Elephas maximus indicus: one gene and its partner. Each later gene encodes a partner of the first gene's protein in a complex. Links are inferred from orthologs where the notes say so. Each region holds a gene or a part of one and is shown on either strand. Other genes may lie near its edges.

Region 1 (16,230 bases):
ACACCCCCGGGAAAATCATGGAGTGTCTCAGAATCAGGAAGTTAGACAGAACCTATTATAGGGTTTGGGCTTTGGTTGGATGAGCTGGGGGAGGGTCTAGGGTTCACTCTAGATTGGATGCTGCCAGAAAACGGGGGCAATTTTATGGTTGGACATCTCACTGACTCTTATCTGTAGGGAGGGGGGACGAGAATGAGGATAAAGCTGTAATTGGTAAAGAAGCACTAGTCCCTTATTTTGGCCAAGAGAGGGATGTTTGGTACTTTGTGGGTGGCACAGCAACCTTGTTTCTGTGCTTAGGCAAAAGAGTCCTTGCCTTGTCTCGTTTATCCTAAGTCTCAGAGTAGCCTTGTCTGGGGTTGGTGGCCTGTGAGACTGTTTGCGTCTAATGGGAGGGTAACATGGTCTAGCCGAGAACCAGGCCAGCTTCTGAATGTCAGGGGCTGCACTTCTTCCTTTCTCACTCCTGGCAGTCATTCTCATTGTACAACGGGCAGATCTCAAAGGTATGTACCACGCTGCCCCTTTTACAACGGTACAATGTAACACCACCTCGGCTTGAACAAGAGGGTGAACAGAAGAGCAATTAATTCCTCCCCCGCCCCGAAACAACAATTCAGCACCACTCCTCATTGGTCCCTTCTAAACTCTTGGCCCTCTTCTCCTCCTTCCTTGAGGACTGTGTTGTCACTGTATGAGCATTTGGCAACAACCCTCCCTCCAGATATAAGTCATAAGAAATGTAGATTTTCATATTTATTTCGTTTTGAAAGAAGCCTTCTCATACATTTTTAGTAATTCGTAAGAGAAATCCATAGTCGCGGTTCAAGCTCCCTCTTGCTCTGGTCGCCTTAACTAAGCATGACTAAAGGGCATTCACTCTGAACTGGGTTTGCCGTTTTGTTTTCCTGCCAGAAAATTAACACTTGTTGCTTCCGCATTTAAATGTGTCTCTGAATCTCTATTCAGAAGTGTTAAGGTTGTGGCTACCTTCTTATTTTTGGAGAATGACTTGCTTGTCTCTTTGCATGGCAGCTTGACTAACTAAGTAATGTAAAATCAAATTTATGAAAGGTATTATGATATACTAGAAGCAGCCAATTCATTCTTGTTTATAAATTATGAAACACCATAAGCTGCTGACTGTTACCATGACTACCTATCTCACCACATAAACATTTGTTCAAAAAATGTCTGTTGCATGTGCTCTGTGCCCATACAATGTAGCCTTAGACACTGGGCAGTGAGAGGAAGGGGAGGGGAAAGTCCAGTCTCTGGAGTCCCACAGCCTTGGTTGGAACTGCTTGCTGTCTCTCAACTTCATGTTCTCTCTCTGTAACATGTGGGTTAGCATGCTAAAACTTCCCCTTGGGGCTCTTGGGGAGGTCTCAGGGTGGCACGAGTGGCTTATGCTTGACTACGAACATAAAGGTTGGCAGGTAGAACCCATCCAACAATGCCACGGAAGAAATGCCTGGCAATCTGATGCTGAAAGGGCACAGCCAAGAAAACTGTACGGAGCAGAGTTCAATTCTGCACACGTGGGATCGCCACGAATTGGAATTGAGTCCTTGGCAATGGGTGGGGCTTTTGGAGGACTAAGAGATAAGTCAAGTTCAGTGCTTAGTGCGGTGCCTGGCAGTTAGCACTCAGCAAGGGAGAACCTTTGTTATTTTTTGAGGGTAAAGCGGTGAATTACTAGATGCGGCCGTTCTCTCCGGGAACTCACAGCCTGCTAGTGGAGCCTGTGGAGCAATCTGACTCCACTACACAGTGAGGTAAAAATGAAGGTTGGGGGCAACTCACTCACTGGGGGTGGGGCGGGGCACCAGGAGTCACGGAGAGGAGTGCCATGGAAGACGCCTTGTCGAAGTCAGACCTGATGGATGAGGAGAAATTGGGCAGGTGGTGGTGGACAGTGGAGGCAAAGGGGCAGAGATGAAGCCAATGGAGAACAGAGTGGTCTGGGCATTGGAAACACCATGTCCAATGCTGGACATGACCCAGGGCAGAACTGCACGCTCCTTCCGGTGGTGGAGTATGGATGGGGCAGAAATTGTGGCTGGAGGGGCAAGAGAGGACAGATCTCCAAGGGCCACATGTGCAAAGCCTAGTTTCTTGGACTTTATCCTGAGACAATAAGGACCTACGGTCAGTCTCCACACCAACTGCTGGTCCCCTTTTTAAGAAGGTACTTAAATAATTTTTTTTTTAAAATGGGATAAAGGAATTTGTTTAGAGGTGTTTGTGGCAGCGTTTTTAAAAAAAAGTTTTATTGTGGTAAAAATACATATAACAAAACATTTGCCAATTCAACATTTTTTACAGGTACAAGTCAGCAACACTGACTGCATTCATCATGTTGTGCGTCCATCACCACTGTTTCCAGATTGTTCCGCCACCATTAACAGGAACTGAGTGTCCCCTGAGCGTCCCCCTCCCTTCTGTCCCTGGTGATCGCTAATGAACTTTGTCTCTATGAATTTGCCTATTCCAGATATTTCATAATAAGGATCATACAATATTTGTCCTTTGGTGACTGATTTATTTTACTGAGCATAATGTTTGCAAGGTTCATCCATGGTGGCATGTATCAGGACTTCATTTCTCTTTATGGCTGAGTAATATTCCATTGTATGGATACGCCACATTTTCGTTTATTCCATTCATCTGTTGATACAGTTTTAGACTGTTTTCACCTTTTGATTATTGTGAATAGGGCTGCAATGAACATTGGTGTACAAGTGTGGCCCCACTTAAAAAAAAATTGTCCTTGAACCTAAGGGATAAGGAGTTAACTATACTCTCATCCATAGGGCATAACGACCCCTGTAAATGTGAGCCCTGGCTCCTCTCTTTATTTTCCCTGCACCTTGCCTCTACCCTTTCTCCTCCTTTTTAAATATATCCATTTTTTATGTGTTTAAGCCAAAAACAAAACAAAACAAAAACAAACAAACCCACTGCCAACAGATTCTGACTCATAGCGACCTGGCCTTAAATATGTATGTATCTTTACAAAATGTTGTTGCTAGATGCCAGCAAGCTGCTTCTGACTCATACTGACCCTCTGTACAACAGAACAAAACATTGCCCAGTCCTGCACCAGCCTCAAAATCGTTTTTATGTTTGAGTCTATTGTTACAACCACTGTGTCAATCCATCTTGTTTTTCTCTTACCCACTACCTAACCAAGAATGATCTCCTTCTTCAGGTACAGGTCTATCCAGATAACATGTCCAAAGTATGTGACATGAAATCTTGACATTCTTGCTTCCAAGGAGCACTTTGGCTGTGCTTCTTACAAGACAGGCTTGTTTGTTCTTCTGGTAGTCCACGGTATATTCAATATTCTTCCCCAATACCATAATTCAAAGGCATCAATTCTTCCTTGGTCTTCCTTATCCACTGTCCAGCTTTCACAAGCATATGAGGCTATTGAAAATACCACAGCTTGGGTCAGATTCACCTTAACCCTCAAAGTGACAACTTTGCTTTTCAACACTTTAAAGAGATCTTTTGCAGCACATTTGCCCAATGCAGTAAGTCATTTGATTTCTTGACTGCTGCTTCTGCGAGCATAGATAGTAGATTCAAGTAAAATGAAATCCTTGACAACCTCGGTCTTTTCTCTGTTTATCAGGATGTTGCTTATTGGTCCAGTTGTGAGGATTTTTGTTTTATGTTGAGATGTAATCCATATTGAAGGCTGTATTCTTTTAACCTTCATCAGTAAGTGGTTCAAGTCCTCTTCACCTTCAGCAAGCAAGGTTGAGTCATCTGCATATTGCAGGTTGTTAATGAGTCTTCCTCCAATCCTAATGCTGTGTTCTTCTTCATAGAGTCCAGCTTCTTGGGTTATTTGCTCAGCATACAGGTTGAATATTATGATGAAAAGATACAACCCTGACACACACCTTTCCTGATTTTTAACCACACAGTATCCCCTTTTTCTGTTCGAACGACTGCTTCTTGGTCTATGTTCCGGTTCCACATGAGCACAATTAAGTGTTCTGGAATTCCCATTCTTCCCAATGTTATCCTTAATTTGTAATAACCCACACAGTTGAATGTCTTTGCATAGTCAATAAAACACAGGTAAACATTTTTCCGGTATTCTTTGTTTTCAGTCAAGATCCATCTGACATCAGCAATGCTATCCTTTGTTCCATGTCCTCTTCTGAATCTGGCTTGAATTTCTGGGTTTTCCCTGACGATGTATTCCTGCAACCATTTTGAATTATTTTCAGCAAAATTTTACTTATGTGTGATATTAACGACATTGTTCAATAATTTCTGTATTCTGTTGGATCACCTTTCTTTGGAATAAGCACAAATATGGATCTCTTCCAGTTGGTTGGCCAGGTAGCTGCCTTCCAAATTTCTCAGCATAGACCAGTAAGTACCTCCAGTGACGCATTCGTTTGTTGAAACATCTCAATTGCTGTTCTGTCAATTCCTGGAGCCTTGTTTTTCACCAATGTCTTCAGTATAGTTTGGACTTCTTTCTTCAGTGGTTCTTGGTCATATGCTAGCTCCCGAAATGGCTGAATATCAGCCAGTTCTTTTTGGTACAGTGACTCTGTGTATTCCGGCCATCTTCTTTTGATGCTTCCTGCGTCATTCAGTATTTTGCCCATATAACCCTTCAATATTGCAACTCAAGGCTTGAGTACGTTCTTCCCTTTTGGTTTTCTAACTCCAGGTCTTCACACTTCTCATTATACTTTACTGTCTTCTCAAGCCACCCTTTGAAATCTGTTCAGCTCTTTTCCTCCTTTCGTCATTTCTTCCTTTCACTTCAGCTACTCTACGTTCAAGAGCAAGTTTCAGAGTCTCTTCTGACATCCATTTTGACCTTTTCTTTCTTTCTTTTTGATGACTGTCATGGATTGAATTGTGTTCCCCAAAACGTCTGTCCACTTGGTTGGGCCATGATTCTGAGTAGTGTGTCACTATCTGCCATTTTGCCACCTGATGTGATTTCCCTTTGTGTTGTAAATCCTATCACTATGATGTAAGGAGATGGATTAGTGGCAGTTATATTGATGAGATCTACAAGATTAGATAGTATATTAAGGCAATCTCTTTTGAGATATAAAAAAGAGAAGCGAGCAGAGGGACATGGGGACCTCATATCACCAAGAAAACCGTGCTAGGAGCAAGACTGTGTGTGTCCTTTGGAGCTGAGGTTCCTGTATGGAGGAGCTCCTAGGCCAAGACAGATGACCTAAGCCTTCCTCCAGAGCTGACAGAGAAAGCCTTCCCCTGGAGCTGATGCCCCGAATTTGGATTTGTAGCCTACTAGACTCTGAGAGAATAAATTTCTCTTTGTAAAGCCATCCACTTGTGGTATTTCTGTTTTAGAAGCACTAGACGACAAAGGTAATGACTTTTTGCTTTCTTCAGGTATGATGTCCTTGAAGTCATCACACAGCTTGTCTGGTCTTCAGTCATTAGTGTTCAATGCATCAAACCTATTCTTGAGATAGTCTCCAAATTTAGGTGGGATATACCCAAGGTTGTATTTTGACTCTCGCAGACTTGTTATAATTTTCTTCAGCTTCAGTTTGAACTTGTATATAAGCAATTGATGGTGTGTTCCACAGTCAGTCCCTGGCCTTATTCTGATGGATGATATTGAACTTTTCCATAGTCTCCTTCCACAGATGTAGTCCATTTGATTCCCGTATACTCCATCTGGAAACCCTGGTGGCGTACTGGTTAAGTGTCTACGGCTGCCAACCAAAAGGTCAGCAGTTCAAATCCACCAGGCACTCCTTGAAGACTTTATGGGGTGGTTTTACTGTGTCCTATAGTGTCGCTATGAGTTGGAATCGACTTGACGGCAATTGGTTTGGTTTTGGTTTTATATTCCATCCAGTGAGGTCACATATATAGTCACCATTTGTGTTGCTGAAAAAGGTATTTGCAATGAATGAGTCATTGGTCTTGCAATCTCTAATGTCCTTTCTATCACTGACATATTTTCCAACTACAGATCCTTCTTTGTCTCCAACTTTCACATTCTAATCACCAGTAATTATCAAAGTATCTTGATTGCCTGTTTGATCAATTTCAGACTGCAGAAGTTGGTAAAAGTCTTCAATTTCTTTATCTTTGGCATTAGTGCTTGGTGCGTAAAAATGAAAATCTTATTAACTGTAGGCATATGGATATTATCCTATCACTCACAGCGTTGTACTTCAGGATACGTACTGAAATGTTCTTTCCGATGATGAATGAGATGCCATTCCTCTTCAACTTGTCATTCCCAGCATAGTAGACCACGTGATTGTCCGATTCAAAATGGCCATACCAGTCCATCTCAGCTCACAAATGCCCAGGATATTGATGTTTATGCATTCCATTTCATTTTTGACCATTCCCAATTTCCACGTTCCGATTATTAATGCATGCTTGCAGGTGTTTCTTCTCATTTTGAGTTGTGCCACATGAGCATATGAAGGTCCTGAAAGCTTTACACCACGTCGTTAAGGTCGACTCCACTCTGAGAGTGCAGCTCTCCCCGAGTTGTATTTTCAGTGGCTTCTAACCTGAGGGGCTCATCTTCCGGCACTATATCAGGCAATGTTCTACTGCTATTCATAAGGTTTTCACTAACAAATTTTTTCAGTAGACTGCCTTTCTTCCTAGTCTGTCTTAGTCTGGAAGCTCCGCTGAAACCCATACACCATTGGTGACTCTGCTGGCATTTTAAATATCGGTGGTATAGCTTCCAGTATCACAGCAACACACAAGCCACCGCAGCACAACAAACTGACAGACTAGTTTTGGGTAAAATATGTAGTATCGTATTACGTGTGTTTGTAATTGACTGACATGGTAGTCTGCTATAAATTTCTCCTGTGTCTTGCTTTTTTCCTATCAATACAAAGGATCAACGTTGCTATATATACATCTAGTTCATTGCTTGGAACTGCTGTATAGTCCATTTACATTATACATTGCAGCATTATTTATAAGTTTGTATTAAACTAAACATTGCACACTAGGGAATGATTAAGTGACCGTGGTAAATTAGCAGTGTGAAATAGCATGCCTTTACTAATGACAGTTCTGAATATCATGGGAAACATGCTTACGATGTTAAGCGGAAAAAGCAGAAAAAATTGTGTTTATGCTATGAAAATAACCACATAAAAATATACATTCACACAGCCAAGGGCTGGAAAAAATCAGAGAAAAATGAAAACAGCTACGTGTGTGAGAGCAAGGGAACTGTGGGTGTGTCTGGGAGTTTGGCCTACATGATAGCTTTTCAGACAGTATAATCTCGAGGGAGAACAGGCAGATCAGGGCAACACCAACCTGCTGCCTACCCTGCCCCAGAACTGGCCTCTGCCACCCCTGCAGTCAACTTTAGCATCTGTCTCATTCCACTGGAAGTAGGAGCGAAGTTAATTATCCGTTCAGAAGGCAGAATGAGATCTCTCTCTCCAAATTTAACTCTCTTCATGATAGAACAAAGCAAAGTGCAGGAGAGTTGAACATACTATTCTTCCCTTTGCGCAAAAGTAAAACACATAAGTTTGTATTTGCAGGGGAAGAATTCTGGTAGACAAAGTGTTTACAGTAATTATCGCTGAAGAGGGGGACTGGGGATCTGAAGTAGCAGGGAGACTTACTTTTTAAGAAAGAAAGAAAAAATATATATATATATATTTTAAATTATGTACAAGGAATTACCCTTTTCAATTAAAAATTTTATTTTTAAAAGCTTAAATCTCAAAATCCTAACGTTTGAAACATTACTCTTAAAATCCTTTAACTTTTAACTCATCACTCAATCTTCCAAAATAATAAACAAATTCATTCAGACTTTCAGGGCTGCTTACATGTTTTATGAGTCACAGCGCAAACAATATTCTACTATTAACTTTAAAGCAGAATGCAACTGATAATTACTGAGATCCTAGTTACCACGTCTGCGTTCACTAGGACTCAGATGTTACGACCACTGTCCTAACATGGACTCTTCTCCTGGCTTTCCCCCTCGGTGTATAAGGACAGCATTCGTCCCCCAGGCCCACACCCTGGGATCCGGGCCTTGCTCCCCGTGACGCCCTCCCACTTTGGGTCACTCGGCGTCCCCAAGAACCTCGCGGGTGGAGCTGTAGGGCGTTGTGACCGAGCGTCTGCAGCCAGGCCTGGGCCCAGGCGACCCCGCCCGCGCCCGTCGCCGCCGCCGCGTCCCCGGGTCACCGCCCCGCGCGGCCAGCACCTACCACTGGCCGAGTATCGGAGGGGAGAGATCGCGGCCCCTTCCTCCTGCCGGCTGGTAGTGCGTCGGTACTACGGCCGCCTCGGCCTGGCGCTAAACTTAAAAATGACGCCAGGGAAGTGCTGAGCACCAGCAGCCGACCAGCCCCGGAAACGAAACCAAATTCGTACCGCGGGCCGCTTCCTAGCTCTCCCAGACCCTTGGCGCGCCGCGCTACCCGGAATAGACCCTTCTCCCGCCATTTTCGGCTTGTTCTCAGTCGGGACCCGCGCGCAGCCGGCCCCGCGCTCCAAGAGCTGAGGCTCGCGGCTCCGGGGCTCGCCCCGCGTGGTGCTCGTGTCCCGGGATCGGCGGGCAGCATGGCCGCCGCCGTGGACTCTGGGGACGGGCTTCACGCCCGGCAGTACGTGTTCCTGCTTCCAGGTAAACACGCCCGCCGGGAAGGGAACGCCGAGCCCGGCCTCGGGCCGCACGCCGCTGGGCCGGGAACGCGCGGAGCGGCCAGCGGGGCCGCGCACGACCTCGCGGGCCCCAACCTGTGGCAGGCGCAACACCCCCTCTGCGCCAGGCCCGGGACCCGCTGCCCCTCCGAGCGCCGACCCACGGCCCTCAGCGCTCGGCCCACACCCCCTCCGCTCCGCGTGCCGACCCCGCCGCTCTGCGCTCGGCCCCGGTCTCGCCGCCCTTCCGCGCGCGGCCCTCGGTGTCTCAGTGCTCGGTACGGCCCCGCTTCTCCTCCGTGAGCCAACCTTTGACTCCCCCCGGCCCCCCTCCCCTCCGCGCACCGGCCACGGCCCGGCTGGCCCCCATGACGCCGCCCCGACCGCCCTCGGGCCCTCAGTGTTCGGCTCCCACCCGCTGCCCCACCGCGCGCCGACCCCGGCCCCTTTGCGCTCGGCCCATGCGCAGCGGCCGAGGCTCTGTGAGACTGGGTTGTATCCCATGTTACAGCTGGATGCCGTTACCAAAGCCCAAAGCAGGACACGGACCGAGTGTGTCCCTAGCTCGGATCCTCGTGGGTCCCGTGGGCGAGAGGGATCGGCTCTGGCCTGCGGAGGGCGCGGGGGTAGGGTGGGGCGAAGCCTAGGGCGCACTGCAGGGCCTGGGGTTTTGCGATTTGGGTGTAACTTGAAGTGCCCCACTGGGCATTTGGCTTAGGTGCCGACTGATCCAGTAGGCCCGGAGTCGCCTTGGAAGATAGCGCTGTTAGCACGGTCCATGCCCTCTGACAAGCGTTGGGTAGCGAGGCAGTAGAAATTCCCTTGGGAGTAAGGGAAGCCGGATCCTGGTAGTGGTTAGAACAAGGGAGGTTCAAAGCGATTCAGGCCGTTTACCACTGAGGCTGGAGCTAGGCTCTTCCTTGAGGAAGATAACCAGCCCTCCAAGACAGCTGGCTTGGGAGGATGAGCTACCAGTGACGGACGACCAAACGAGAAGGGACCATTAAGTGCCAAATAAAAGGGGTGCAAACACTGTAAAAAGGTTTGGCCTTTTGATACGATAATAGGATTGTGGCATAACACTGGAAAAAAGGAAAATCCGTTGTTCACTGTTAATTTTGAGATTGAGCTCAGCAAATGCAGGGAGTTTTTGCGGTAAATACACACTGGTGATGATTAAAAAAAAAACACCCGTTGCCGTCCAGTCAACCCTATAGGACGGAGTAGAATTGCCCCCATAGAGTTTCCAAGGAGCGCCTGGTGGATTCGAAGTGCCGACCTTTTGTTTAGCGACCGCAGCTCTTAATCACTATGCCACCAGGGTTTCTGGTGATGATATAGTTGTCCAGTAGTCTAGATTTGTATGGTAAAAAAAAAAAAAAATAGTGCTATCGCGTCGTTTCCGACTCATAGCGAGGATACTGAAAATTGTTACATGGCAGTCTGTGAAGAATTTTGTGTGTGTGTACGTTTGATTTTTCCTCCTTTTATAAAGAGTTAAGTGTGCAGTTCGGTCATCTTTTACATATGTACACAGCCCTGTAACCATCCCAGGTGGAGACGCAGAATTTTTCCAGCAGGCTCTTCATGCCCCCTCCCTGAATATCTCTAGTAACCTCTATGCTGACTTCCCTTGCCAGAGATTAGGCTTGCCTGTTTCTATCAGTATGTACCCGTGTGTCTGGCTTCTTCAGTTCCCATGCCTGTGACGTTCATCCAGGTGTGTCGCGGTGGTTTTTTTTTTTTTTTTTTTTTATTGGGTACATTGCACTGATGAATATCCATAGTATTTATCTCTTCTACTATAGATGAACATTTGGATTGTTTTCAGTTTGTAACTATTATGAATTACATTTCAAAGAATACTTTTTTAGGAGGCTTTAGATAGACATGGCACTCATTTCTGTAGAGTTTATAATCAGGGGTGGAGTTGCTGGGTCTTAGGTATTCATATGTTTAGTTTTAGTTGTTTGTTGTTGTGTGCCATTGAGTCTATTCCAACTCTTAATGACCCCATGTGACAGAGTAGACCCACCCCATAGGGTTTCCTAGGCTGTAATCTTTACTGGAGCAGATAGCCAGGTCTTTTCTTCCCCAGTGTGGCTGGTGGGTTTGAACCCCTGACCTTTCGGTTGGCAGCTGAGCGCTTAACTGTTGTGCCACAGTTTTCCAATTTACACTCCCACTAGCAGTGTTTTTTTGAGCAGCATATGAGACTTTCTATTCCTTCAGAGCCTCACCAGAGATGTTTGTAGAGTAAAATAGTTACTGAGAAGGTCAGGGTTTTGGCTTCAGTCTAGTGAAGGACTTGCTTTACATGGAGAGTCCTCCTTCGCACTTCCGTCACAGCAATGCGATTTTAAGGATGGGACTCTAATCTTTCAGAATCAAGTGCGTTGTTAATATACAGACACACAAAAAAGCTGAGGGTAATTTGAGTTTTTAATTTTGTTATATTTTTCTTAATATTGACATCATTCTTAAAAGTGTGTTTGTATCTTCATTGTATTAAACACTAAAACCCTCGAAAGATTTAAGTATTGATTGTATTCCTGAAAATTGTAGGCTTAGTATATCTACTGCTGGGCTGTGAGAACGGTTTCGGCCCAGTTCCTGTTCTAAGCTGTACTGTAACCGTTTAACTCTCTGGGGGTGGCTGAGCAGCTGTTAGTGAATTGATAATAAAGAACTGTGTGGTCATCCAGGCAGGTTCTGTAACAGCCCAAACTGGAGCATCCTTAGCCTCTAGCTCTTCCATCCGGCCTCCAGTGCCACCTGCAGGCTCTGAGGATAAGTCCACAAACACACTTTGATAGCTGCTGCTCTGGATCAGGAAACCCCGGTGGTGTAGCGGTTAAGTGCTATGGCTGCTAACCAAAGGGCTGGCAGTTCAAATCCGCCAGGTGCTCCTTGGAAACTCTATGGGGCAGTTCTACTCTGTCCTATAGGGTCGCTATGAGTCGGAATTGACTCGACAGCCCTGGGTTTGTTTTTTTTTTTGGTTTGGCTCTGGATCAGTGGCTCAAAAACTTGAAGGCATCAGAATCACCTGGGGAGCTGGACCCCGCACCCAGAGTTTCTGATTTCAGTAGGTTGGGGTGGCCCAAGAATGTGCATTTCTACCAAGTCGCCAGAGGATGCTGCTGCAGGTCCGGGGACCCCACTGGGAGCCTCAGCGGTGAGGAGTAGCAGCTGGGAGCTGGGATTGGGAACAGGAATGGCCAGCCTCGGGCTTAGCTCTCTCTGTGCTGGGCCAGGGTTTACGTGGTGAAGGGGGTACACGGAAGCACAGGGAATGAGGCCGTCTTCACAGATGTGTTTGCTGTTTTTTCCAGTAGGTGGGAAGTCATTCCAGCTAGTTGTCACTGAAGAGGAGGAGAATAGACCCTTGGCAGAGAGCACCATAGCTACCATGAAGTTGCAGCCTTACTAAAGAAAACAAAGTTTAATATAAAAATTTTCAAAACTGTTCGGTGGAGGCAGTCTGTGTTCAGTTTTAAAAAACTTCCGGGATCTGAAGAGCTTACTCTATAGGCTGAAAAGTGAGCACATTAACCAACAGGCCAACAGAGCTTTAAGAGATTTATCTGTGAAACAAATGTAAAATCACCTAACCTTGAGATGATACTTTTTTCCAACATTTAATTCACATTATTGAGTTGCTTACCGTAAGCAGAAAGGGGAATCCCTGGGTGGTGCACGCTATTAATAAACTAAGCTGCTGATCAAAAGATTGGAGGTTGGAGTCCACCCATAGGTGTCTTGGAAGAAAGGCCTAGCTATATACTTCTGAAAAATCAAACACTGAAAATCTTGTGAAACACAGTTCTATTCTGATAACGTGTAGGGTTGCCATGGGGCAGAATCAACTCGATAGCAACTGGAACTAGAACCATGAGTACTGTGTTCTATCTTGGAAGATATGTTTAAAAATAAGATTTAGGTCTCACCCTCTAGTTTTCATTTTGTCTGGAGAAGCCAAATATTGCAGATTAAAAAAAGCTGCAACTTGGAAGGGACACTTGTGAGGTATTCTGACTTGGGACGTTGATTTTCATAGGCAGGTGGAGACAGACTGCTTCCCATTTCAGCAAAGTAAGCATTCCTTGTAGTTTCAGATGGTGTTAAATGTTTTCTCCAAAATGCCCTGGAAATGATAGCCTATTTGAAGTTACAGTTATTATAAGAGGCCATTAACATCTTTGGAATGTGGTGGAAGTTTCCATTCCTCTTTGCTTTTCTAATAATAAATGTTTAAGAAATATTTTTTACATGTTTCTGTAGTCCAAGTTTTGTACGCTCATCAGTTTTATTAAGTTGAGGCGGCCCCAGGCGTGAAAGGTGAGCTAGGAACACATTCGCAGAGTGTAGGATGTAAGACTCCGTTTATTGCTTTTGCCTGGGTAATACTGATTACCTGCCCAGCTCCATGGAAATGGTAAAACATTTGGAAACCTTAATGTTAAGTGAGAAAAAAAGGAGAACAGAAATGATCTCAGGACCATAAAGAAACTCATTTGGGTCCACCTAGGTTGGTCAAAGCGTCCATTAAATTAGATCAAAGTGGCCTTTAGGTTGCATCCTCAACTGCAGTAAAATTATTCCCCTTTATTTAATGAAAATACACATTAGGAGGTATTTTAGGAAGGGCTGTGTTTTTTATCTTTTTTCCTGCACCTAGCAGGAGTCCCTGGGTGGTGCAGTTAAGTACTTGACTGCTAGCTAAAAAGGTTGGCAGTTCAAACCCACCCGAGAGATACCCTCAGAAGATAGGCCTGGTGACTGGTTTCCGAAAGGTTAAAGCCTTGAAAACCTTATGGAGTGGTCCTACTTTATACATGTGGGTTTGCCCTAAGTGGGGATTTATGGGACTCACTGGCAACCAATAACAACGCCATAAGTAAGGGCCAGTTTTTTGGGGGTAGAGGATGAGTTCCTTTTGGGGAGATGAGAATCCCAGGCCTGTCTACCTTAGACAGGGCTGTCCATTTCCGATACAGTAGCAAGCTTTTTATGTGAAACGTAATGATAATCACAAATAATACTAATATCAGATTTGTTTCTCCAAATGGAGTGCAAAACTGGAGGTGAAATATTGTATGAATGGATCCTTTAGAACTATGTTCTAATTAAAGGATTAGAAAAGGAATCAAATTTAAAAGGGGAAACTAATTTTCCTATTTAATGTTGGAGAAAATTTATATTAATGTTATTTCTGATTATAGTCTTGTGGATATACCTTTTTATGAGCCCAAAAGAAATGCTTCTAGTTTGGGGGGGAAAAAAAAAAGCGTATGGCGAAGGAAGAACCACTATAGATCTATTTTCATCACCATAAAAAAATCTTTTCCCTCCCTTCCCTAAGGGCATGTCGTTAATCTCAGAAGACAAATTTCAGGAGATATTTTTGTTCCTTGTGAAAGCTCTTTGTGTGTACGTGTGTTGGTGTTTGGGAACAGCCTTTGTAGGCTGAAAGTTCTCTTCCTTCCAGAAGAGTGTATTCTGAAGGGACAAAGCAGCACTTAGCACTAGGGAACCTGGCCAATGCAAGTGCTGATCAGAGACAACCACTGACTACTTGTGCTCAGCTTCTTGGAAAATATTTCATTTGCTGAGTCGTGTCCTGCGAGCAGTCAGCAATGTGGGAGTCTCAGCTTTCCAGCAGGGAGCTTGCTTAACATTTTCCACACGGATCTGCGTCTGGTCTGGCTTTGTCTTTATGAAAACGTTTTTTGGTGGGAAGCTGCCTGGCCTTTCTCACATGGCCCCTGGATCTGCTCCCCTAGCTATGTGAGCACATTCTGAAGTGGATGGACTTAATCAGTTGCCAGATGGTGTAGTCAGACAGCTTCCACAGCCTGAACTTTTGTCCTACCGGTAATTGTTCCTAAAGATCTGGGACATTTATAAGTAAGAACTGGTGACTCCTACATATTTGTCCTTCAGGGCAGAAAAGAAATTCATCAAAGGAAAGTAAGCAGTGTTCATAATTTTCTATTTAAACAGCAGAATAGGCACTGCATGGGTTCTCTCATTGTCTTTAACCATATAGTAAGACACAAGCCACCCAATCAGTGTTCCCTAAAGCTTGGCTATAGATTTATGCTATTCATTTAGATTTTATAAGTCTAATCATTTATGGTAACTCTGTGTCCTTGGGCAAATTGCTTACTCATTGTAAAGCTCAACTTTCTCATCTCTACAGTGGGAAGAACAGTACTGGTCTCACAGGGTTGCTGTCTGCTGGTTCAAGTTACATTTAAGTTCCCTGTTGTATACCAGAGGCGCTATGGTGGTGCAGTGGTTAAAGCACTCAGCTGCTAACTGAATGGTCAACAGTTGGAGCCCACCAGCCACCCCTCAGGGGGAAAGATGTGGTAGCCTGCTTCCATAAAGATTCAGCCTTGGAGACACTATGAGGCAGTTCTACTCTGCCCCATAGGGTTGCTATGAGTTGGAATTGACTAGATGGCAACAGGTTTTTGGTTTGGTTTTACCCCCAAGCTCTTAGCTCCAGGCCTGGGACAGAGTATATATTCAATAAATATTTATTTAAAGAATAAATGTCTCACATTCCATTTCTTCCCACAGTGTCTTTGCTAACACTGTCCTTTTTCCTGCCCCTCCACTTCTATCCAGATTCTTCTCTGTCTTCAAGACTAGGTTTGGCTTTAGTTTCCAAGAAGCCAAGCCATTCCTATTTGCTTCAGCCCAGATTCTCTCTCTTTGAACTCCTGTGACTTTGTATCTGCCTTGTACCCTGTCTGCTCTTTTCCACTTTTTCCACTAAAAATCAAACCAAATCAAACTTGTCTTTGTTGAATTGATCCTGACTCCTGGCAATCCCACATGTTACAGAGTAGAACTACTTGATAGGGTTTTCTTGGCCATAATCTTCATGGGAGCAGATCACCAGGGCTTTCTTTCACAGCACTGTTGGTTGGGTTTGAACTGCCAACCTTTAGGTTAGTAGACAAGCATAAACCACTTGCACCACCCAGCTCATGTCACCTCCTCCAGGAAGCCTCTCCTCCTTCCAGGCCTTCTCCCTGTTAGTACACAGGCTAGTATGTATCTGGTACTCTGTAGAGACCCCTCTTAGAACACCAAAATGTTTTATCACAATTAATCAGTTCATTATAATTTTAATGCAAGCATGGATTGAACATAGTAATGCAGAAAAATATAAAAAGATTTATCCATAATCCTCTTACCTAGGAACAACAATTTTGGAGCTATTTCTTTCCCAGCTTTTTGTGATGTGTGTATCAAAAAATGAATTCCATTATTCTTAAATGTTTTCTCATTTTTCTATTTCTGCCTTATTTCATTATGTATTATTATTACTTATTTGCTGTAATAATCACTAAAACACTCCCAAATGTTGAGATGTCCTAGAGTACCCCACAGAAACATGGCGTTCCATGAGGGTACTGTATGGTTCTGTTCATGAAATTCAGCATAGACTTAGAGAAAGATGGTCAAATTGATCTCACAGAGAACCGGGGGCTGGGATTTTTGCTCTTAATTTAGATGAAGACAGAA
Region 2 (15,973 bases), on another chromosome or scaffold:
TGGCCGGAGTCTCAAGTGTCTGCAGCGTCACTTGGTATGAGGGGCCCCAGGAGGCTGCTCTCCCAGCACCTCGTCCTGCCCCCACTCCTGCTTCTGACCCTCCTTTCTTCCCCAGACCAAGTGCGACCTGCGACACCCCCCAGGCAACGAGATTTACCGCAAGGGCACCATCTCCTTTTTTGAGATTGATGGCCGCAAGAATAAGGTCAGCAACTGAGGAGCAGTGGGGTGTCCTTGGAGCTGGTGGCCTGGGACACAGGAAGTTGAGCAGTTTCTTCCTGCTTAGGAAAACACTCACCAGTCTGGCCAACATGTTGGTTCAGCCCATTTTTATTGAGTACTAGTAGTGCTGGGATGTACTAGGATGACCAGAAACTAGACAGTCTCTGCTGAGACCCCGTGGCCCATGGGAAAGTCCTGCCAATGGCCTGTGACATCCCAGAGTGACAAGTGTCATGAGTCCAAGGGTGGGTTACCAGGACCCTAAGGAGGTAGTCCACAAAGCTTCACAGTGGTGATCTTTGACGTGAGAGGATTCTGAGCAGTGAGATGCTGAAAGGCAGGCCTGCTGTACAAGGATGGTGTGTGTGAAAAGCTGAAAGGCAGGGAAGATAGGAAGGTGCAAGGCTCTTAGAAGGGACAGAGTTTAGGTGGTGGAAACAAGGTCAGTAGGGGTAGCAGGGGCACCGCAGGTTTGGGGCTTCAGACCTCTATGCTCTGTGGCCGTGGGGAAGAAGGGGGTAATCTGGAGACTGCTGAGTGAGACTCCACCGTTGCAGAGTCTGCAGGATGGTGAGGGAGAGGCAGGCACCTTGAATAGCAGGTGAGAGCTCAGGCTGGTGTGAGGGGCAGCCTGAGAGGAAGATGAGGCATTAACCACTGATCTGTAGTAGCTAGGGTGGAGTTGGCCCAGCAGGTAGTTAAAAACTTCCCCTGAAAGTATAGAAGTTGTGCACAGGTGTGAGGAGGCAAGGTTCGTAATTTTGCCGGGGGCACCTCTCAGGCTGTTTTTTGTTAAGTTTCAGAACTTCCTGTTTGCATTGTAGATGGCAGCTCTGTTGCCAGGTGTGACTATGGGCTGGGGGTGGGAGGCTGTTCTGCTTTTTGATAACCAGATTCCCGAAATGCCATCCAAACAGAGGTCACAGCTTCTCTCATGTGCCCGGGCCAGAGTCTGACTTCATAGGAACCCATCTCTGTCTGTTGACTTGTTAAACAGAGGGCAGTGGAGGCCCCCCCGGCCAGGCCAGCATAGAGCTGTGGGGAGCAGGGGTGATCCTGCCCAGCTCACCGGGGAGCCAGGTGGTGGAGCCCTGTCACAGGGCTAGTACAGCATGAATAGATAAGCATCTGCCTGGTCTGGATTAATGGCCACAGCCAGGACAGGTGTCCAGAGGGTGACAGGTCTTTTCTTTTGCAGAGTTACTCCCAGAACTTGTGTCTTTTGGCCAAGTGTTTCCTCGACCACAAGACGTTGTACTATGATACAGACCCCTTCCTCTTCTATGTTATGACGGAGTATGACAGCAAGGGCTTCCACATCGTGGGCTACTTCTCCAAGGTGGGCACTCCTCAGGCTTCCCCTGTCCTGCTGAGCCAGGTCCCACCCCCGCCCACTCACTGCCTCTCTTCTGCAGGAAAAGGAGTCGACCGAAGACTACAACGTGGCCTGCATCCTGACCCTGCCTCCTTACCAGCGCCGGGGCTACGGCAAGCTGCTGATCGAGTTCAGTGAGTACTTGGGCTGGCTTTCCAGCGGCTGGTGGCGCGCACTGGCAGGCCCAGGGCCCGTGCCCCCATCACCAGGGCGCGCGCACACATGTGCACACACAGACACACACATACACACCAGCCTGTGATTCTCAGACCTGGCTATGCAGGGGAGCTAGCCAGAAATAAAGATGGGGGTCTGCCAAGGTTCTCGCCTTTTGGGGTGGCTGCCTGCTCGTCTGGAGCAGGCTTATCCTTCTGCCCCACTGGTTCTTGGCCAAGGCTCTAAGCATCACCCAACTTCTTGATCTGACTCATCTCCTGCCCCAGCCGTGGGCAGAAGTTGTGGGGGCCACTGTCGGGTACCCATCTGGTACTGTGCTGAGATACAAGTTTCTAGGCCAGGACCTATGTTAACGTCCCCAGGTGTCCCCAAAGCCTTGCAGATGCTAGGTATTCAAACTGTTCACTTTTCTAACAGATGTAAGCACCAACATGCATGAATTTGCCCCCAACTCCTTGTATTCGGTCAGATAAATCTTTAAAAGCTGAAGGGCCCCACGGGCCTCATCACATACGGATGTTTCAGTGCCTCCCCTCCCCCAACTCCGAGGACCCTTCTGATTTCCAGCCTCTTACCCTGGCTCCATTCATCTCAGCACTCAACCATTTGAATGCCAACTTTTCAGAAATCTTGTTTTGTTTTTTTCAAGCTCCTCTGATTCTGGGAGGCAGGCAGAGCTTTAGCTGATAGGCTGAGACTTCACTTCACTTCACCAAGGTCACAGTCTATTTGAGAAATGTTAAGTGATCACATGATGCCAGGATGAAGTCATCTTCAGGAAGTTTAGCCTGGTAGAGCAAGCAGACTCTTAAACTCAGGTTAAGCACTGAGCTCAGACCTAAGTGTACAGAAGATGTGGTGGTCAGGATGGCCTGCCCAGCAGGGCCCCCAAAGCACCATTCCAGGCAGCTCAGAGGGCAGGGGGTGTTTGCTGGGGAGGGGCCAGGAGCCGGTTGTAGCTGAGGAGGTAAGTGTGGCCACCAGCCAATGTGTTAGGACCATGCATGCATTATGGACCCCACAAAGCTGAGTATATTTGAAAGGCCTCCTCTTTGGTGCGTTCTCCAACCAGCCAGTCTGAACTGGTGGGGAGGCCACAGGAGACTGGGTAAGAGGATACCCCTGGCTGATAAAGATACCAGGAAAGCAGAAGGGACAAAGGTTCACTGTGAGGCTGGTTGTGGCTCTTCAGAGGTAGTGGGGACATCCCAGTGTCCTGACAGGAGACTGAACACCTTGCCCAAGTGTGGGAACCCACTCAGCTCTGCAGGGACTCCCCAAGATCTGCTTGCCACTGCCTACCATAGCCATCTCTGGGTTCAGCTTCAGCTGCCCCTTGGACAGTTCCAGTGCCCAGCTGTCCACATGTGAGGGCAGGAAGGAGCCGCTTTGGAAGCAGTCACCTGGCTGCAAGGAAGGGCCTCCCTCTGGCTGGGCAAGCACTTTGGTGCGCCTGCTCTCTGGATCCACCTTGTCAGTCCCCAGGACAGCCTAGTCAGCCTCTGAGGTGACGGCAGGGTGAACTGATTGATCTGAGAGAATTCAAGCATCCTCAGGCCTGGATTAGAGATGGAGCACTGCCCCCCTTCTCTCCTCACATGCCCAGACACAGCGGAGAGTCTGGGATCACAAAATGGTGACACCATTCCTTCCATAAGCCATTCTTCCTGCAGCCCCCCAGCACCCCTTGTATTAGCTACTCATTACAATGCACAGTGCCCCCACACTGTGCTCAGCACATCCAGGTGAAGTGGTCAGAAAAGGTCAGCAGGTGACAGCACTTGGCATATGTCATCCTTTGATTATGTGACAGTCCTATGAAAGAGGTTCCGTTGTAAGTCCTTTATGAGGAAAACAGGCACAGAGCAGACAAGCCACATACCCAAGGTCACAAAACTAAGTGGCAGGGCCAGGACTGACCAGGGAGTGGGCCTCCACCATCCATGCTTTACAACGTTGGTTGCGTTAGCCTGTGACCCTTACCCACCGTCTCCTGCCCCATTGCTTTAGGTTATGAACTCTCCAAAGTGGAAGGGAAAACAGGGACCCCTGAGAAGCCCCTCTCCGATCTTGGCCTCCTGTCCTATCGAAGCTACTGGTCCCAGACCATCCTGGAGATCCTGATGGGGCTGAAGTCAGAGAGCGGGGAGAGGCCACAGATCACCATCAAGTGAGCCTGGCCCAGCCCAACCTACCCAGGGGGTGCATGGCCTGGCCTTTCTGTCCCCAGCTCCCTCACTTCCTCCTGGGGTCCTGGGGCAGAGGGGAAGGCCCTCAGCGGACCTGACCTCTTCCCTCCCACAGCGAGATCAGTGAGATCACTAGCATCAAGAAGGAGGATGTCATCTCCACCCTGCAGTACCTCAACCTCATCAACTACTACAAGGTAGGGGGACAGGCAGGGCAGACAGGTCCCTGGGAGGGGGTGCAGCTCTGGGGTGGGGGGCGCTGACTTGCCGACCCCTCCCCCTACCCAGGGCCAGTATATCCTCACGCTGTCAGAGGACATCGTGGATGGGCACGAACGGGCTATGCTCAAGCGGCTGCTTCGGATCGACTCCAAGTGTCTGCACTTCACTCCCAAGGACTGGAGCAAACGGGGAAAGTGGTGACCAGACACTGTCCACGGCATTGTCAACAGAGCAGGCAGGACTGGTGCTGACAGCACAGCCTTCCCCAACTAAGGCCCCCAAGAGGCCCAACAAGGGAGACGGGGCTGTGGACTGCTCCACAAGGACAGGACAGGCCTGGCAGGGGCCACTGGTGCCCAGTGCCTGAGCTTGGCTCAGGCCAACTCCAAGGTTGGCTGGCTGCGGGCCCAGGCCTGCTCCAAACCAGGGACTGGAAGGAGCCTGGCAGCTGTGTACAGTGAGGGGCAGGCTAGGGGCGATCTGCACAGAGGGCTGGTTGGATGTAAAGATTCCTTTTGTAAAGTAGGAGTTGGGGGTGGGTGGGTATGCAGAATTCTGGCCTCTCTCACCCCTATTCCCCTCGCAATAAATTGTTTCTATAGGCCAGAGCCCCAGAAGGTTCTTGTTCTTAGGGACAGTCTTGGTGGCTTCAGGGCTCCAAGGTGCCACAGACTCACAGGCACTTTGAAGAGCTCATTTATTGGGGTGATGGGATCAGTGGCTCTCAAGTACAGGGCTGGTTCAGTGGGGTGCAGGGATCAGTGGATTTCAGTCCCAAGCTCTGGTTCTCAGTCTTCAGGCACCTGTGCGTGAATCTGTAACAGGAGTCACCTGCTGTTGGATTTCTGGGGCCACATACCTGAGACAGGCCCAGCTGCTCAGAATGATAGCCCTTTCTAGGCCTCCAGAGAAGAGTGGTGGGGAAGCCCTTCACCCAGTCTAATCCTGCCCCATTGTGCTCCCCGGCCCTAGAGCCCCAAATCCACTTGGGGGCAAATTTCTGGCCAACCCAGCATCAAACTTTAAAGGAGAAGGGCCCGTCCTTACACTCACCGCTGCAGCGAGGCTGGGCCAGGTCAAGGCCCCGCGTACTTTTGCGTCCGGGCCGGGGACGGTCTCCAGGCCCCACAGGTGGAAGCTGGCAAAACTGGCAGTGGCCCTGAGAAAGCGGTCCTAAGGGAGGGGCCCGGCTCAGAATGGAAGCGCCGCTTCCGCCCGCACCCCCTTCCTGCCCCGACACCCTCTGCTCACGAAGTCCCGCTCCATTGGCTCCGGGCGCTCCTGCTGCTCTTTCTCGTCGTCGTTCTTTGAACCCCTCGATGCGTATTTCCTTTCTAACACCTCTGCCTTCTCGTCCATCACCATCACGTATCCCGCGAGGCCACGGGGCACCATCACCTTCTCGCCCCGCAGAAGGCGGCCCCGAAACGACACCTCGAGCCCTGAAGGGAAGAGTCGCAGGACCTAGGTCAGGCGAGAACCCAGGCACAGGGCGCCCAGTGCGGCCCTCCCGCCACCGCCGGGCGGACTACGAGCCCCAGGCGCCCTCGCGGCGCTGCTCGCCGAGGGTCGCGCGGCGCGGGCGCGGGGGCTGCCGGGAGCCGTAGTCCGGCTCGAGCGCTGACCTGCGGGCCGCTGGCGGATGGCCGGAGTGAAGAAGCGCCCGACGGGGGCGGGCCGGTTAGCCAGGATCTCACAGGGCAGTAAGTGCAGCGTGACGGGGGCAGCGTCGCGCAGCGTGGCAGGGCGCAGGTGGATGCGGTGCTTCTCGGTGGCTTCCTCATCGCCGCTCTCCATCCTCCGGTCGCCGCGAGTCTGTGTCTGGCTGAGGCCAAAGCTGGCGCGTAAAGCGCGCAGAGCCTCTCGGGAGGCCGGGTACAGTCAGCGCAGAGCCCCATGGACAGCGTAGTCCTTCTCCGAGACTCCTCTGCAAGCCCCGCCCCCAGCTGGTTAAAGTCCCAGCTTTCTTTAAATGTCTTTTTTAATCCAAAATTAATTTTAAAAATTGTGGTAAAATAGACAGAAAAATTGCCATTTTAACCATTTTTAAGTGTACAATTCAGTGGCATTAATTGCATTCACAGTGTTGTGCTATCATCACCACTATTTCCAGTTTTTCTATCACCCCAAATAGAAATTCATACCCGTTGAGCCGTAACTCCCGGTTCTCCCTCCTACGGGCCCACGGTATCCTCTAGTTTACTTTCTGTCTCTGTGAATTTGCCTATTTTAGATATTTCTTACTACCAATTGTCTGTCAGTTTGTTGTACTGTGTGGTACCTTGTGAGTTGCTATGATGCTGGAAGCTTTGCCATCAGTATTTCAAATCTGCCCTATGGTAGAACTGATTTCAGTGGAGCTTTCAGACTAAGAGACAGATTAGGAAGAAAGGCCTGGCAGTCTATTTCGAAAAATCAGTCAGTGAAAACGTTATGAATCACAACAGAATATTGTCCAATATAGTTCTAAAGATGAGCCCCTCCCTCTCAGGTTGGTAAGACCCTATACAATAGCTGCAACGATAGACTCAGACATACCAATGATCAAGAAGATGGCGAAGCACCGGACAATGTTTTGTTCTGTTATACATACGGTCAACAGGAGTCACGCCCGGCAACTTGTTATTAGGTACCATCAAGTTGGCTCCGACTCATAGCGACCCTATGTTCAATAGAATGAAACACTGCCTGGTCCTGAGCCATCCTCACAATCATTGCTATGTTTGAAACCATTGTTGCAGCCACTGTATCAATCCATCTCGTGGAGGGTCTTCCTAACAACAACAATTTCATATATTTGGAATCAGAATATTTGTCTTTTTGTATCTGACTTATTTCACATAGCATAATGTTTTCAGTGTTCATCCATGTTGTAGCATATATCAGAACTCCATTCCTTTTCATGGCTGAGTGATATCCCACTGTATGGATAGACTACATTTTGTTTATCCGTTCATCTGTTGATGGACACTTGGACTGTTTCCACCTTTTGACTGTTGTGAATAATTCTGCTATGAACATTGGCATACAAGTATGTTTGAGTTCCTGCTTTCAATTCTTTTGGCTGCACACCTAGGAGTGGAAGTACTGGGTCACACAGTAATTCTATGTTTAGCTTTTGAGGAAGCACCAAACTGTTTTCCATAGTGGGTATACCATTTTACATTCACCAGCAATGGATGAGCTTTCCAGTTCCTCCACATCCTCCCCAACGCTTATTATTTTCCATGTTTTATTATTATTATTATTATTATAGCATTCTAGTAGGTGTGAAGTGGTATCTCATTGTGGTTTTGGCTTGGATTTCCGTAATGACTAAATGATGTTGAGCATCTTTTCATGTGTTGGTTGGCCACTTGTACATCTTAAATAGAAAGGTCTATTTAAGTCCTTCGCCCATTTTTAAATTGGGTTGTTTTTCTTTTTGTTATTGAGTTGTAGGGGTTCTTTATGTATTTTAGATAAACTCATATCTGATAAACCTTTATCAGATATATGATTTACAAGTATTTTCTCTCATTCTGTAGGTTAAGAATTTTAGCTCTTAAATTTAGGTCTTTGGTCCACTTTAAGTAAATTTTTGTATGTGGTGTAAAGTAAGGGTCCAACATCATTCTTTTGCATGTGGATACTCAGTTTTCCCAGCACCATTTGTGGAAAAAATTGGTTTTTTCCCCATTGAATGGTCTTGGCACCCTTGTCAAAATCAATTGGCTGTAGATGTGAGGGTTAAATTCTGGGGCCTCAATTCTAACCCGTGGGTTTATATATTTATTCTTATGCCAGTATTACACTGTTTTGATAATTGTAGATTTAAAATGAAGATGTGTGAGTCCTCCACTTCACTCTAATTTTGCAAGATTGTTTTGGATTTTCTGGGCCCCTTGAATTTTAGGATTGGTTTTTCCATTTCTGGCATTTTGATAGGGATTGCGTTGAATCCATGGATCACTTTGACATCTTCATCTTTACAATATTGTCTTCCAATTTGTGAACATGGAATGTCTTTCCATTCACTTATATTTTCCTTAATTTTTTTTCAGCTTCAGTGTAAAAGTTGTGTTCTTTCTTGGCTAAATTCATTACTAAGTATTTTATGCTTGAATTTTATTTTCATTTTTTTCAGCTTGAAATATGCCAACCATGTTCTTCCCTTTTGGTTTTCTAACTCCAAGTCTTTGCACATTTCATTATTATACTTTACCTTGTCTCAAGCTGCCCCTTGAAATTTTCTGTTCATCTCTTTTACTTCATCATTTCTCCTGTTCACTTAGCTACTCGGTGCTTAAGAGCATGATTCAGAGTCTCTTCTGACACCCGTTGTGGCCTTTTCCTTCCTTCCTGTCTTTTTAATGACCTTTTACTTTCTTCGTGTATGATGCCCTTGATGCTGTTCCACAGCTCTTCTGGTCTTCAGTCATTAGTGTTCAGTGTGTCAAATCTGTTCTCGAGATGGTCTCTAAATTCAGGTAGGATATATTCAAAGTCATGCTTTGGCTCTCATAGACTTGTTTTGATTTTCTTCAGCTTCATTTTGAACTTGAATATGAGCAATTGATGGTTTGTTTCATAGTCAGCCCCTGGCTTTGTCTTGACTGATGACATTGAGCTTCTCCTTATCTGTTTCCACAGATGTAGTTGATTTGAATACTGTGTAATTCATCTGGTGAGGTCCATGTGTATAGTTGTCAACGTGTGTTGAAAAAAGATATATCCGATGAATAAGTCATTGGTCTTACAGAATTCTATCATGTGCTCTCTGGAGTATTTTCTGTCACCAAGGCTATATTTTCCACTACTGATTCTTCTTTTTGTTTCTAACTTTCACATTTCAATCACCATTGCAATCAGTGTCATTAAATTGTAAATCTGGAAGCTGTGACCCAGGTACTCAGTGATTAAGAGCTCAGGCTGCTAACCAAAAGGTTGGCAGTTCAAACAAGGCTAGCATTAATCCAAAAACCACAAAATAATAAATGTTGGAGAGGTTGTAGAGAAGCTGGAACACTTACACACTGCTGGCAGGAACGTAAAACGGTACAACTACTTTGGAAATTGATTTGGTGCTTCCTTGAAAAGCTAGAAATAGAACTACCATACCCATCCCCTGCTGTCGAGTCGATTCCGACTCAGAGTAGAACTGCCCTATAGAGTTTCCAAGGAGCACCTGGTGGATTTGAACTGTCGACCTCTTGGTTAGCAGCCGTAGCACTTAACCACTACACCACCAGGGTTTCCAGAGCTAGCACACGATCCAGCAATCCCACTCCTTGGAATATATCCTAGAGAAATAAGAGCTCTCATACGAATAGATATATGCACACCTATGTTCATTGCAACACTGTTTATAATAGCAAAAAGTTGAAAACAAACAAGATGCTCATCAACAGATGAATAGATAATCAAATTATGGTATATTCACGCAATGGAATACTATGCAATGATAAAGAACAACGATGAATCCATGAAACATCTCATAACATGGATGAGTCCAGAAGGCACTAAGCTGAGTGAAATTAGTCAGTCACAAAAGGACAAATATTGTATGAGACCACTATTATAAGAACTCAAGAAAAAGTTTAAACACGGAAGAAAACATTCTTTGATGGTTACAGGATGGGGAGGGAGGGAGAGGGATATTCGCTGATTAGATAGTAGAAAGAATTATTTTAGGTGAAGGGAAGGTCAGTCAACACACAGTACAGCAGAAGTCAGCACAACTGGACTAAACCAAAAGCTAAGAAGTTTCCTGAATACAACCAAACACTTTGAGGTACAGAGTAGCAGGGCAGGGATCTGGGGACCATGGTTTCTGGGGACATCTAGGTCAATTGGCATAACAAACTATATTAAGAAAATGTTCTGCATCCCACTTTGGTGAGTGGCGTCTGGAGTCTTAAAAGCTAGCAAGCGGCCATCTAAGATGCATCAATTGGTCTCAACTCACCTGGAGCAAAGGAGAATGAAGAACAACAAAGACACAAGGAAAATAAGAGCCCAAGAGACGGAAAGGGCCACATAAACCAGAGACTTCATCAGCCTGAGACCAGAAGAACTAGGTGGTGCCTGGCTACCACCAATGTCTGCCCTGACAGAGAACATAACAGAGAATCCCTGATGGAGCAGGAGAAAAGTGGGATGCAGAACTCAAATTCTAGTGAAAAGACCAGACTTAATGGTCTGTCTGAGACTGGAGGGACCCCAGAGGACATGGCCCCGAGACAGTCTTAGCCCAAAACTAAAATCACTCCTGAAGCCAACTCTTCAAAGATTAGACTGGACTATAAGACATAAAATGATACTAGTGAGGAGTGCGCTTCTTAGCTCAAGTAGACACATGAGACTATGCCGGCAGCTCCTGTCCAGAGGCGAGATGAGAAGGCAGAGGGGGACAGGAGCTGGTTGAATGGACATGGGAAATACAGGGTAGAGAGGGAGGAGTGTGCTGTCACGTTATAGGGAGAGCAACTGCGGTCACATGGCAATGTGTGTACAAGTTTTGGTATGAGAAACTGACTTGAATTGTAAACTTTCACTTAAAATTTTTTTTTTTTTTTTTTTTTTCACTTAAAGCACCATAAAAAAAAGAGAGAGGAAAAAAAAAAAAAGATTGGCAATTCGAATCCACCGGCTGCTCCTTGGAAACCCTATCAAGCAGTTTTACTCTGTCCTATAGGGTTGCTATGAGCCAGAATTGACTCACAGCCACGAGTTTGGTTTTATTGTTTTTTTACTCAAACAGATACAGTGTTCATTGCAGCATTATTCACAGTAGCTAAAAGGTGGAAACAACCCAAATGTCTACCAACAGATGAATGAATAAATCAAATCGATGTTCCATTGTATTTATAAACCTGGTGTATAGATATAATGGAATCTTATTCAGCCAAAAAGAGAAATGAAGTTCTGATGCAGGTTATGACATGGATGAACTTTAGAAACATTATGCTAAGTGAAATAAACCAGATACAAAAGGACAAATGTATGATTCCACTTATATGAAATATCTAGAATAAACAAATGCATAGAGACAGGAAGTAAATTAATGGCTAAACTAGGAGCTAGGGGAAGGAGTCAATGGGGAGTTATGGCTTACTGGGTACAGAGTTTCTGTTTGGGATGATGAAAACTTCTGGAAATAAAGAATGGTGATTGTATAGCATTGTGAATATAATTAATGCCACTGAATTGTACACTTAAAATGGTTAAAATGACTAAATTTATGTTATACATATTTTGCCATTATAAAATTTCAAAATTGGTTACTGGGTTATTTGGTGCATAAATATTCATAAATATTATATCTTTGTGGTGAATTAGGACTTTTAGCATTAAGTAGTACCCTTCTTTGTCGTGTTTAAATACTTTGTGGCCAGAATTCCACTTTCTCTGACATCAAGATCGCTTTCTTTGCTTTTTTATTGTTTCCGTCTGCCTGGTATATCTTCATCCACCACTTTATTTTTAGCCTTTCTGAATCACATTATTTTAGGTGTGTTCTTGTATACAACATATAGTTGGGTCTTGCTGTTTTAGCCAAATTAAAAATCTTTTTCTTTAAATAAGTGAGTTAGACTGTCTTAGTTATGTGGTGATGCTATGACAGAAATAACCATAAATGGGTGGCTTTAACAAACAAAAATTTATTTTCTCACAGTTTAGGAGGCTAGAAGTTCAAATTCAGAGTGCTGGCTCTAGGGAAAGGCTTTCTCTCTCTCTGTTGGCTTTGGAGGGAGGTCCTTGTCGCTTCAGCTTGTTTCCTTGTTCCTTGGAGATCTCCATGAGGCTTGGCATCAATCTCCCCCTATCTTTGCTTGCTAGATTTCTTATTTAATCTCTTTTATCTCAAAAGAGATTGACTCAAGGTATACCCTACACTAATCCTGTCTCATTAACATAACAAGGGCAATCCATTCCCAAATGAGGTTATAACCACAGGCATACCCACCCAGTGCCATCGAGTCCATTCCAAGTCCATTCCAACTCCTAGCGACCCTATACGACAGAGTTAGGATTTACAACACATATTTTGGGGGGGACACAATTCAACCCATAACATAGGCCTATTTATTTATCAATATAATTTATATTTTTGGTCTCAAGTCTGTAACAATATTTCATAATTATGTCAATTTTGTTATATTTGATGTTTATTTCTCTATGAAGATGTGTATTTTTTGTCTTTATATTTTAAAAAGTGGTTTTCAGGCATGGACCAGTATCCTGAAACTTGCCTTCAAAAATGGAGGGTGCCGAGAGACCAAAGAAAGAGGCAGGCAACTCCAGCATGGTAGCGAGGGAGTTTATTATGGAGACTTACATACAAGTCCAAGTCCTTGGCAGATCTTCGCACCCCACAGTGGGAGGGCAGTTTTGTATTAGAGGTAGACAATAGTGGCTACAGGCCAGGGGCTTACATAAGAATAATTCAGCAAATAGAAGTGAACTAGTGGACCACATGAGGGCACTGATATTCAGCCTCTCAAATCCTGTTTCCCCTTCAGTCCACCCCTCAAGGCCAACTCCTTCAGTCTGGCACATTCCCCCTCTCTTGCCACAGCAGGAGAGACCCTTCTCCCTTCCTACTGGGAACAGGTATAGAAGTGGGTTGGCCAGGTGCTGTATGGTGCCTGTGCATGTGCAAGAGACAAAGTTACTGTGTGCCCAGAACAGGGGGCAAGTTTCTCTAATGAGAAGGAACTGGGAGAGTGAAAGTGACCCGATTCCCAGCCTCGTTATCGGAGAGTGTTCTGGGCCCAAGGCCTTTATTTAGGCAGGCTGGATGGGAGGCATAGAGGCAGACCATTCCCCCAACAAGTGGTATTTAGGAGGGTTTGTATTTTTGTTCCTCGTATTTCTATCTCTTGAAAAAAAAAAAAAAAAACCTTAGTTCCATGTTATTATTTTATCTTCTGTCATCTGGTTTATTCATTTTTAGTGGTATCCTTTAACTCCTACTGATTGCCTGTTGTATCAGTCAGGGTCCAATCAGGAGAGACAGCACACAGTAATCTGAACAGAGAAAGTTTAAAGAATTACTAACTAACCTTAGAAACAAAGACATAAATATATAAAAAAATCAAAGGATGGAAAAAAGTATCAAGCAAACAGCGACCAAGGAAGTGTGAGAATGGCAATACTAATCTCAGATAAAATAAACTTTAAAACAAAATCCACCATAATAGACAAGGAAGGACATTATATAATGATTAAAGGGACAACCCACTATGAGGACATAACCATAATAAATACCTACACACCCAGTGACAGGGCTCCACAATACATATACTCTAGCAGCACCGAAAAGAGGAATTGACAGTTCCACAATAATAGTATGAGTCTTCAACACAACACTCTCGGTAAAGGACAGAACATCTAGAAAGAAATTCAGCAAAGATACAGAAGATCTAAAGGCTGCAAGCAACCAACTTGACCTCACAGACATATATAGAACACGTCACCCAGCAGCAACAAAGTACACACTCTTTTCCAATACCCATGGGATGTTCTCCAAAATAGACCACATCTTAGGCACAAAGCAACCTTCAACAAAATTCAAAACAGTGAAATAATACAAAGCATCTTCTCTGGACACAATGCCGTAAAAGTGGAAATTACTAACAGGAAGAGAAAGGAAAAAAGATCAAATACATGGAAAATAATAACACCTTGCTTAAAAACCACTGTGTAATAGAAGAAATCAAAGATGGAATAAAAACTTCCCTAGAATCAAACAAGAATGAAAACACATCATACCAAAACCTCTGGGACACAGCAAAGGCAGTGCTCAAAGGTCAGTTTATAGCAATAGATGCATACATCAAAAAAGAAGTGACAAAATCAAAACATTAGCTACACAACTCAAACAAATAGAAACAGAACAGCAAAGGAAGCCCAAAGCCACCAAAAAAAAGGAAATAATAAAAATAAGAGCAGAAATATATAAAATGGAGAAAAGAAAAACAATAGAAAGAATCAACAAAACCAAAATTTGGTTCTTTGAAAGGATCAACAAAATCGAAAAACCATTGGTCAAACTGACAAAAGGAAAACAGGAGAGGAAGCAAATAACCCAAATAAGAAATTAAATGGGGGACATTACAACAGACCCAACTGAAATAAAAAGGATCATAACAGAGTACTATGAAAAACTGTACTCTAACAAATTTGAAAACCTAGAGAAAATGGACAAATTTCTAGAAACACACTACCTAAATAAGCTAACACAAACTGAGATTGAAAATCTCAATAGACCCAAAACAAGAAAAGAGATTGAAAAGGTAAAACAAAAAAACAAGCAAAAAAAAAAAAAAAGCCCTGGCCCAGATGGCTTCACTGGAGAATTCTACCAAACATTCAGAGAGGAGCTTGCACCAGTACTACTCAAACTTTTCCAGAACATAGAAAAGGAAGGGATACTTCCAAATTCATTCTGTGAAGCCAGCATAACCCTGATACCAAAACCAGGCAAAGACACCACAAAAAAAAGAATTACAGACAATATCTCTCATGAATATAGATGCAAAAATTATCAACAAAATTCTAGCCAACAGAATTCAGCATCATATCAAAACAAAAACAAAAACAAAAAAAACCACCAGAACCAAGTGGGATTCATACCAACTATGCAAGGATAGTTCAACATTAGGAAAATCAATCAATGTAATCCACTACATAAATACAACAAAAGAATCACATGATCATCTTATTCAACTCAGAAAAGGCATTTGATAAAGTCCAACACCCTTCCTGATAAAAACTCTCAATAAAATAGGTATAGAAGGGAAATTCCTCAGCATAATAAAGGACATCTATACAAAACCAACAGCCAACATCATTCTTAACAGAGAGAGGCTGAAAGCATTCCCCTTGAGAACTGTAACAACACAAGGGATGCCCTTTATCATCACTGCTATTTAACATTGTGCTGGAAGTTCTAGCTAGATCAACAAGGCAAGAAAAAGAAATAAAAGGCATCCAAATTAGTGAGGAAGAAGTAAAAGCGTCCCTATTTGTGGATGATATATTATACATACCCACTACCACTGCCATCAAGTCGATTCCGACTCATACCGACCCTATAGGACAGAGTAGAACTGCCCGATAGAGTTTCCAAGGAGCACCTGGTGGATTCGACCTGCCAACCTCTTGGTTAGCAGCCATAGCACTTAACCACTACGCCACCAGGGTTTCCAATATTATACATAGAGAACCCTAAAGACTCCGCAAGAAAATTACTGTAACTAATGGAAAGATTCAACAGAGTGGCAGAATACAAGCTAATCACACAAGAATCAGTTGCATTCCTATATGCCAATAAAGAGGACAACAAAAAGGAAATCAGGAAAGCAATACCATTTATAATAGCCCCTAAAAAAATAAAATACTTAGGAATAAATGTAACCAGGGAAGTAAAAGACCTGTACAAAGAAAACTATAAAACACACTACTGCAAGAAACCAAAAGAGACCTACATAAATGGAAAAACATACCATGCTCATGGACAGGTAGACTCAAGATTGTGGAAATGTCAATTCTACCCAAAGCAATCTAGAAATACAATGCAATCCCTATCCGAATACCAACAGCATTCTTTAAAGAGATGGAAAAACTAATCATTAACTTTACATGGAAAGGGAAGAGGCCTTGGATAAGTAAAACACTACTGAAGAAGAATAAAATAGGAGGACTCACAGTACCTGATGTCAGAATGTACTATACAGCTATGGTAGTCAAAACAACCTAGTACTGGTACAATGACAGACACATTGACCAACGGAACGTAATT

The links.
Region 2: the proteins of RNASEH2B (region 1) and RNASEH2C are in contact, whole or in part, in a crystal structure (PDB 3PUF), measured with the Homo sapiens proteins. The link is inferred for Elephas maximus indicus from reciprocal best matches to the Homo sapiens genes RNASEH2B and RNASEH2C. Residues at the interface, in NP_078846.2 of Homo sapiens: Arg14, Gln15, His16, Val17, Phe18, Leu19, Val20, Ser21, Glu22, Leu24, Leu35, Met36, Phe37, Val38, Lys39, Leu52, Glu62, Lys64, Phe66, Glu68, His70, His71, Ser72, Trp73, Phe74, Ile75, Asn76, Gln77, Ser78, Val79; in NP_115569.2 of Homo sapiens: Ile9, His12, Arg13, Val14, His15, Leu16, Ser18, Ala27, Thr28, Leu29, His30, Leu31, Leu32, Pro33, Cys34, Glu35, Val36, Ala37, Val38, Asp39, Gly40, Pro41, Ala42, Pro43, Val44, Gly45, Phe48, Phe63, Val75, Pro77.

What each region holds. Positions count from the first base shown.
Region 1 is NC_064832.1:27,074,073-27,090,302, reverse strand, and holds the start of RNASEH2B (ribonuclease H2 subunit B), read left to right. Parts: upstream 1-8,155; 5' UTR 8,156-8,604; coding exon 8,605-8,668; intron 8,669-16,230. UniProt on the Homo sapiens protein: Non catalytic subunit of RNase H2, an endonuclease that specifically degrades the RNA of RNA:DNA hybrids. Participates in DNA replication, possibly by mediating the removal of lagging-strand Okazaki fragment RNA primers during DNA replication.
Region 2 is NC_064825.1:128,864,246-128,880,218, forward strand, and holds RNASEH2C (ribonuclease H2 subunit C), read right to left. Parts: upstream 6,039-15,973; 5' UTR 5,983-6,038; coding exon 5,811-5,982; intron 5,628-5,810; coding exon 5,437-5,627; intron 5,359-5,436; coding exon 5,239-5,358; intron 5,001-5,238; coding exon 4,974-5,000; 3' UTR 4,544-4,973; downstream 1-4,543. Other genes in the region: histone acetyltransferase KAT5, read left to right, coding at 1-34, 116-205, 1,421-1,561, 1,638-1,731, 3,785-3,944, 4,079-4,160, 4,252-4,386.